Linked DNA regions of Xenopus tropicalis. The protein of the gene in region 1 interacts with the protein of each later gene in a pairwise test. Links are inferred from orthologs where the notes say so. Each region holds a gene or a part of one and is shown in the gene's direction. Other genes may lie near its edges.

Region 1 (3,825 bases):
CAGGGCCCCCCCAGCGTCCTCCACCACCCCTCCCGCTCGCCTGATTCATCCGGCTTTACCCACCACCCCTCCCGCTTGCCTGCTGCTTCCTCCGGCTGCTTAGGTTGCAGTATGTGGGGGAGGATGTGGGGGAGCTGAAGTATGTGGGGGAGGATGTTGGGGGGAGCTGAAGTATGTGGGGGAGCTGAAGTATGTGGGGGAGCTGAAGTATGTGGGGGAGGATGTTGGGGGGAGATGAAGTATGTGGGGGAGCTAAAGTATGTGGGGAAGGATGTTGGGGGAGCTGGAGCATGTTGGGGAGGACGCTAGGGGGAGCTGGATGATGTTGGGGAGGACGAGCTTTAGGACGCTGCGGGGGGGAGATTGAGGATATTTTAACTGCAAAAGTTGGGGGTCGTCTTGTACGCCGGAAAATACGGTAATTGTTTTTTAAATTGGATTTTTAATAATCATTCACTTCACGCAAGAATCATCAAGTTCTAGTAAATACAGATTAAATACATTGTTGTCTTTTACTATATACAGTAGAACCCCCATTTTACATGTTTCAATGTACCAGAAAAAATTTATATTTATACTAGTGCCTACCCTTCCCTTCCACAATATGGTGGGCAGGACAGGTGCGGTTATATAAATAATAATAGTGCTTCCAGATTTGGTTAGTTTTGGGCTAGGAGAGAGTTAGTATGAGTCAAGCATGGATTTGCACACTATATAGTTGCTATTGAGATTGAGATTTTTTCCTGGTACAGTTTTGCAGCAAAATTTGTTAGTGTGCGATGTATCCACCCCTCGCCATTTGTGTTTACTTCTTACTTGCACATTTGGGGGCAGCTCCATAATTAATGGAAAGTTAAAAGGGTGTTTTGGTCAACCTGATTTGGAATTTCTGTCCTAAGCAACTGGGACAGGAAGAGGGGGTGGGGCTTCACACTATACCAGGAAGAAGAGGAAAAGAGCTGGAGATTTCAATTTATAAGTCAGAAACCAGATAAGACTGAATGTAGGGACTAAGCTATATTATTCTGGGGGTTGTTTAGAGTAATTTTAAAGAAAGAAAAAAAGGTTTATTTATTTAAATTTCCTTTGTTTTATTATTGCTGCAGTTGTCTGCTAATTTATCTTTTCTACTCCAGTCATGCCCCTACAACTATCCAGTGACCATTGTCCATCATCATTCATCATCATGCTGCACCTGTATATGTATTATAATAATGACTAGTGGTTAGCAATTAGATGCTATTGGTATTGCTAACAGTCTAGCAGTCCTTTTGTTTTCACAAAATGGTTTAGCAGATGGTTTATACATACATAGGAATTTTTTGTACCACCCTATGTATTGTTATTTAGGACAAAAATAAAAACACAAAAACTATTTCCATGCAATAATTATTCATGAAATACCATCTTTAAATAATTATGCATGGAGGAGTATATTTATGTTTTATTTCCTCTTTCTACAGGCAATTGTCTTCACACACTGGCTGCTGACAGTATTGTAAGTATTATACACTGTTGCCGAGTAACCTTGCATATTGCATGCTTTGCTATAGAACAGTACATAGGGGAAGTAACCATGAAGGTTACTTATCTGTGTCGGCAACTTATAGGTGTATATTTTAGCCTCTGCGCAGTTTGTATGCCCCCCTCAGCTTGCAAACAATAATTTTAAATTGACTTGGTGCATAATTCATTAATACAATGAGGCAGTAAGTACAATGGGGCAGTAAGTACAATGAGGCAGATTCAAAATAAAACCTAGGAATGCAAAGAAATTGAGACATAAAATTAGCTATAGACTGGTGTCTGGTGTCTGGTGTGACTTTAATATTATCAAAACTCGCAGAACACAGGGGCTGCTATTCCCTGTATTAACTATGCACAGCAGTTTAATGTGTTTATGCTATAATACTCTGTTGTAAACTAATAATAGATACTAAATAATATTAATAAATATTAGATGTAAGACCTTACCTGTAAAGTCAGCCATTCACATGCTGATCCCATACACTAACCAATGGACTAATCCTGAGATCCCCATACTTTTTGTATTTGTCTCACAGTTTGCAAACCATTGGGTTAATACATACAGAAACCGAATCTGTTTTTAAAATGTATTCGACTTAATGGAAAGATTTTTTTTAGCAGTAAATAATGTTCTATAAATGATTTCTAAACTGAAATCTAAATAATGCAATAATATGCATGTTTCCTTTGTCTTGCAGTGCATGCATGATTGATTGGCTTCCTAAAGCCTATGGTTTGGCAAACATAACAATCCTGGCAATGGGAGTTTGGGCAATTGCACAGAGGGATTCTATTGATGCAATTTTTATGGTAGGAAAGCATATTCCTCTGAATTTTGCTGATTATGTGTTTCAGACAGACAACTGGATGTTTTCTCTTTCAGTTTCTCATTGGGCTGTTGCTGACTATTTTGACTGATATCCTTCTTTTTGCACTGTACTTTACTGAAGCAGAGAAAGCATCAGAATCAGGACCTCTTCGAGATTTGTTTCGCTTTAGTTCAGGCATGGGCATTTTCAGCCTGCTTCTGAAACCTTTGTCTTGCTTCTTCATGTATCACATGTATCGTGAGCGAGGGGGAGAGTACTTTGTCAATCTAGGTAAGTGAGAGCTAATGTTGCTTTCTTATAGTTACAGTCAATGAGTCATTTATAATAGGTGTCCTTCAGTGACCGTACAAATGCATTGTGTCCTCTGAAAGAGGAGTGTCTATTTCTCCTTACTTTAGACATGTTGGGGATGCCTGAATAAACTCTAGTTACATTTTAGTGAAATATTAATGCATTAAGTGTATTGAATGATTGATAGTGAGACAGGTCAGGTAAAGTTATGTTTGAAGTACATTCTTGACCTTTGCTGTATGCAAAACTTCATTATAGTAAGGTTTTAAGAATAATTGACCAATTAGATTGTCCATAACAATGTTTACATTACATTACATTTTAAGGGGTAACTATTGCAACGATGAAAATTTAATATAAGCTTCATCTTACTGAAATAAAAAAAATTCTATATTTAATCAATTATAAATTCTGTGCCGTTATTAAAATAATAAAGCTTATCTTGACTATCCACTTTTCACCATCTGTCTCTTTTTATACAGGAGTTAGGTGTCAGATTTTCTTTGGCAGTTATATATATCTTTAAGGGGGCTGCCTTTCCTAGCAGATGTGTTAGAGCTAGCTCAAATAACTTATTTCAGCGAAACAAAATCTAATAAAATAATTGACTTAGCCCATGACTAAGTGCATTTGGGCAAAAAGGCATAGCGCCATTGGAGGTGCTTACTTTTTAATTCAACTTTAATAAAGAGGATTTTTATTTTTGTGTCCCCGTGGGTTTCTGTTGCCCCAGGTTGTAAAATCACTGTTTCAGTCCACCTTTTGAAGATATGGGGTCACTTTCTGCTTCTGAGTATGACATTGTCTTCCACACCTTGGCTGCTGAGGTTTCCTGGAACAATGGTGCATATTACTTTGAGGAATTGGTGTCCTATTTGATCTGTATTGACTCCAGAATGAAAGAGAGACAATTGCAAAAGCCTTGCAGTTGCAAGTATCTTCCTATCTCTATTTCAGCTCCTGATTTGTCACCCTCCCAAACTGATGATCCCATGCAGTTTGGTGCCACTCTTCTAACTCCTGAGAAGAAAACTTGCAGAAGAACAACTGATCTGTAGTTATAACTGAAATCTTTCTTAAGGTTTCGCCTGAAAAAATGCCTATAGACTCTAATGGCCACAAAAAATAGTTGCGCAGGATGGAAAAAGTCGCCACAAAAAAGTTGAATTGTACGGAA
Region 2 (4,443 bases), on another chromosome or scaffold:
TGCGGGGAGATTAGTCGCTCGCGGCAACGAAGATTTGTGGCAGGGCAGCTAATCTCCCCGTCTGCCACTGTCCTTATAGGGGTTTTAAACCCAAATAGAGAATAAATATAAACATACTTAATTGCTGAATCTGTTCAAATTGGATTGAATTAAAAACAAATCGCAAGACCTTATTCTGATCAAGATATGTCACCTTCCTGGGTTAGTTCCACACTCTGTAACAGTCAGGCTTCACATTAAGCCTTGCCGAGTCCTCTCAGCACTCAACCATCTGGTCGCGACTCCCTCTGTTCCTTCGCAGTGGCAGGAGGCACCCCCAGCTCCTCTGGGAGTTCCTAACACAGGCAGCACTCCTGCCCTGTGCCCTGCTCTGAGAGTGACCTTCACTCAGACAAGGATCAACCTCAAACTCTTTCTCTCAGAAAAACTGACTCCTTGCTGCACACCCAGGCTCACCTTAAATGCTTCAGGTGTTGCCTAATTGGCTCCAGCATTCCCCAATTGGCTCCAACATTCCCTAATTGGCTCCAACATTCCCTAATTGGCTCCAACATTCTCTAGCCATACTTCAGGGTCCTAGCCTCTCCTGCCCTGGAGATTTAAAGGAGCCAGTACCTCAGCCTGGGTGTTATATATCTGCCATCCAACAGACACTTCTCACCAAGACAAACCTTTTTGTCACATATGGAAGACCCAATGTCCCAAGCAATCTGGATAACAGGTCCCAGTTTACCTCCCATATCTTTGTTTTTGTATGTTCGATGTATACACCCTTCTCATACAGGGTTGTGGATTATGGTTGAGCTTTGTACATATGTTACAAATACTACTAATAATAATAAATGTTTTTGAGACTTTCACAGTTTTTGTTGCACCTCTTTCAGGCTTCCAATTTCAACTGTGATGCAGTTGCCAGGACATAATTACCCTAGCAGCCACCAGGCGAGGACCTGAAAATGAAGAATGTAAAAATGTAACAGTAGTTGACTGTCCTCAGCCTTCCTTGTGGGAATGCACTGTTGGTTACATAGTTTCTGCATGCTGTAAGCTGTGGAGATGTTTTAGTCCCTTCTCCCCTGCAAGGATTTCAAATAATGCAAAAAGAGAACTGTTTTGCAGTTGGATTTCAGCATGTAAAAATGGTATTTGTTCATATTACAGATTGCACTATTACAGTATATTTTAAAAAATATTTCCATAGTATTTATAATTTTTCCAATGCTGTATAGAGAATGCATGGTGCAGTCTGCTGAAGGACAACTTACATATATTACTTGTTTTCCCCATAGAATTATATATGAAATCCTATGTGAACACAGAACTGGAAAGCTTGCTCTCCATGTCCCCCCACTGCATTCCATGCCTCAGTGAATCTGCTGTTGATTGCTCTGCTCTGAGCATCTCAGGGAAGCACAGTAAGCAACTCCCCATGGCTGCTGATACTCAGTGCCTCACCTGAGCTGAGGGATGCTGCTGATGTTATTGTGTAGTTGCTGACATCTGGGAGGAGAATCTGAGGAGAGCTCAGTTGTGTTGATGGTCGACATAAACAGAGTAGCAGCTGCAGCAGTTACTGTGAGCCCCAAGCATTGTCTGAATGGAAGCTGCAGCCTCTGCACATCACAGCACTGTCGGTTAACCCCTGCTACTGATGTAACATGCCATACCGAAGTCTGCGCCCTGCAGTAAGAGAACGGAGCAGCTAAGTGGGCTGATTGGAATCATGGCCACAGACAGTAAGTGTTTGGGGAGGGGGTGTCAAAGGAATATATTGTTGCTGTTTGTTTGTTTACATTCAAGCTCAAGGAGACTGATAGCTTGGCCTTGTATTACAGAATGCAGGGAGAGTAGAAGGGGAAGGTGTGAGAGTTATGTAATACAGCTTGAAGGCTAAAGTTTCTGCTGGAAAGCGGGCATTCTACATAGTGTGTTAAGTACTATTCAAAAACACATTATGTTGCATTATGCACAATGATATAAAAAGGTGAACGTCGCTCTGTATGTTTATGCTTTGTTGCAGACCTGTAACTAGTCCTCTAGTTCCATTGCAGTTGTCTTGTCGGTTTGCTGCAGAAGGGTTTTCCTTTTGTAGTGCTCTGTAAATCCCCTTGTGTTGTTGCAGCAAGTAGGAATCTTGCAGTGGAATCTGAGATATGGTTGGCAACGTAGAAGTAGAAACACAGAAGCAATCCTAGAGCCCAGCCTGTTGTGTTGTGTTTGGGCAAAAGACAGGTCTAGAATTCCAGCTGGATCTTTAATTGGCAAGCTCTTTTTCATCGACCCCTACTGTTGCAGTGTCTTTTGAGGATCACCTTTAGAGTTAGAATTGTAACTCAATTGACTGCATATTTTTTGGGGTGTCTATAAGATGCAAGTGTTTTTATTGGAGCAGTGACACTCCCAGTCTGCTAACTTCTCACAAAGTTGGGTGCAAGTCCAGAGTGTTCAGGCATGATCTGAATGGGCTGGCCACACCAAAGTTGCAGCATTCCACAGCTTTGTATTAATTGGACAATCAGATTGCTACTGTTCTGATTCATGCACTTGCATTTAATTACTTTATAAACACTTCATCTGACTGCAGTAAAACCAAAGGCTGTCAGATTAGTTCCTTAAGGCCATATACATACTATACCCATATAATATCTAGGCATTAGGCCTACGAGCCATGGTGTTGCCAGCTTTCTGTTGGTCCATTTATTTGGGACAACATTAAAAACAGCAAAAAGTGAATAAAAGCTGCAGCTTCTGTATCTGCTGAGCACTTGCTAAGATGGAATTTTCAAACCTGCTTTATTAGTGAACTGACCAATATCCATAGCACATAGATATCAGTCTATTTTATCAGTATATGCATGGCCAACTGTAGACTTTTTTTCTGGCTCAAGGAGTTCTTTCAAGACCTGTCTCTTTAGGGATTCTTCTCTCCAAAACTACTTCTGACCAAGTTTCTTCTATTAAAGGCTGTATTGAACAATCTGCAGAAATTCTATATTAATGTCTTTAGTATATAACTTGATTCCAAGTACAGGTATAGGACCTGTAATCCACAATGCTAGGGACCTGGTGTTTTTTCAAATAAGTGGTCTCCATACCTTGTCTACTAAATAATCATTTCAACATTAATAAATACAATAGGATTGTTTTTGCCTCCAATAAGGATTAATTATATCTTGGTTGGGATCAAGTACAAGGTACTGTTTTATTATTACAGAGAAAAAGGAATTATGTTTTACAATTTTGAATTATTTTATTAAAATGGAGTATATGGGAGATAGCCTTCCCATAAATCAAAAACGTCTGAATAATGGATTTACAGATAATGGATTCCATACTTATACTACCATTTTTGGAAAATTAAAAAAGTATATATTTATATAACCAATCACATCTTTTCAATGTTCCTAGCACTACTTCCTTTTTACTATCCTTATTCCAATGATTGTAAACCTAGGCATTTATTCTGTTTTTGTTTTGAACTTTGTTAACAGTTCCAAACTGTCAGTTGGTCCACTGAGCTCCAGTTAATGTGTTATTGCATTACAAGCATGATTCATTATTAAAGACCCAGCAGTGAATACATCACTTAGCCCAGTCACAAGCATCATAATGACTTTGCACAAGTGGTTAATGATAAAAAGATGTCTCCCAGCTGAATATGAAAAAGGATTTTCATCTTTTCCCAGCCCTTCTGGAAATGAGAGCTTTATGTGTTCAACTTTGTTTATTTTTATGCAGTTCTGTTATTCAGCAAATCATTGTGTGGACACATAAAGACAGCAGCCTTTTAATTAATATCACAGATTTAATTAGTCCTGACATGGATTTTCCTCCAACTGTTTTTCAGAATATTTAGGCAGAGTAGGGCAGGGCTGATTTATGACCTCTGACTGTAGCATTGCCCATACACACTAGCTTATTTGTTCCTCATTCTGTGGGTATAGCATCACATGAACTTGCCTGTGTGTCTAAAATCCTACATAGATCTGCTCTGACATCTATAGAGAGAGAGAGCTAGGCACTGACACAGTCTGATAAGCGCATCAGGAAGCAGAGAAAACATTATCAGGTAAATGGTAAGTATTTGTGTGTATATTTTTCTGTGTAATTCTCAATAAAAAAACATGGAGTAAGCCTATGTAATTAACAACTGACTACAGGTGCCAGCAAGCATGGCTGTCCATGATCTGACATGGAAATACAGTGCATAGTGGGTTTAGATACCCAACATTCAAACATTCATAGTTTGCCTTTGGGCTTAATGCATTAAGGTTTGGCTGCTCACTGGCTTGAATAGTATGAGGATGGGTGATTAGATCTTTAAGATGTACTGTAGCGGAGCAGTTGTTTGAACGATATGCATTTAAATTGATTTTATTATGCTTGCTCGGCTTCTTTGGACTTTAATACCTCCATAGCCAGCAGTGAGCTGTAAATGCAAGT

What was found.
Region 2: the proteins of agtrap (region 1) and syt16 interact in binary tests that used the Homo sapiens proteins (3 or more experiments, as listed by UniProt). The link is inferred for Xenopus tropicalis from reciprocal best matches to the Homo sapiens genes AGTRAP and SYT16.

Annotation. Positions count from the first base shown.
Region 1 is NC_030683.2:65,689,013-65,692,837, forward strand, and holds part of agtrap (type-1 angiotensin II receptor-associated protein-like), read left to right. Parts: intron 1-1,463; coding exon 1,464-1,498; intron 1,499-2,225; coding exon 2,226-2,337; intron 2,338-2,410; coding exon 2,411-2,627; intron 2,628-3,825. UniProt on the Homo sapiens protein: Appears to be a negative regulator of type-1 angiotensin II receptor-mediated signaling by regulating receptor internalization as well as mechanism of receptor desensitization such as phosphorylation.
Region 2 is NC_030684.2:101,926,227-101,930,669, reverse strand, and holds the start of syt16 (synaptotagmin-16), read left to right. Parts: upstream 1-1,425; 5' UTR 1,426-1,723; coding exon of another isoform or gene 1,724-1,736; intron 1,737-4,443. UniProt on the Homo sapiens protein: May be involved in the trafficking and exocytosis of secretory vesicles in non-neuronal tissues. Is Ca(2+)-independent.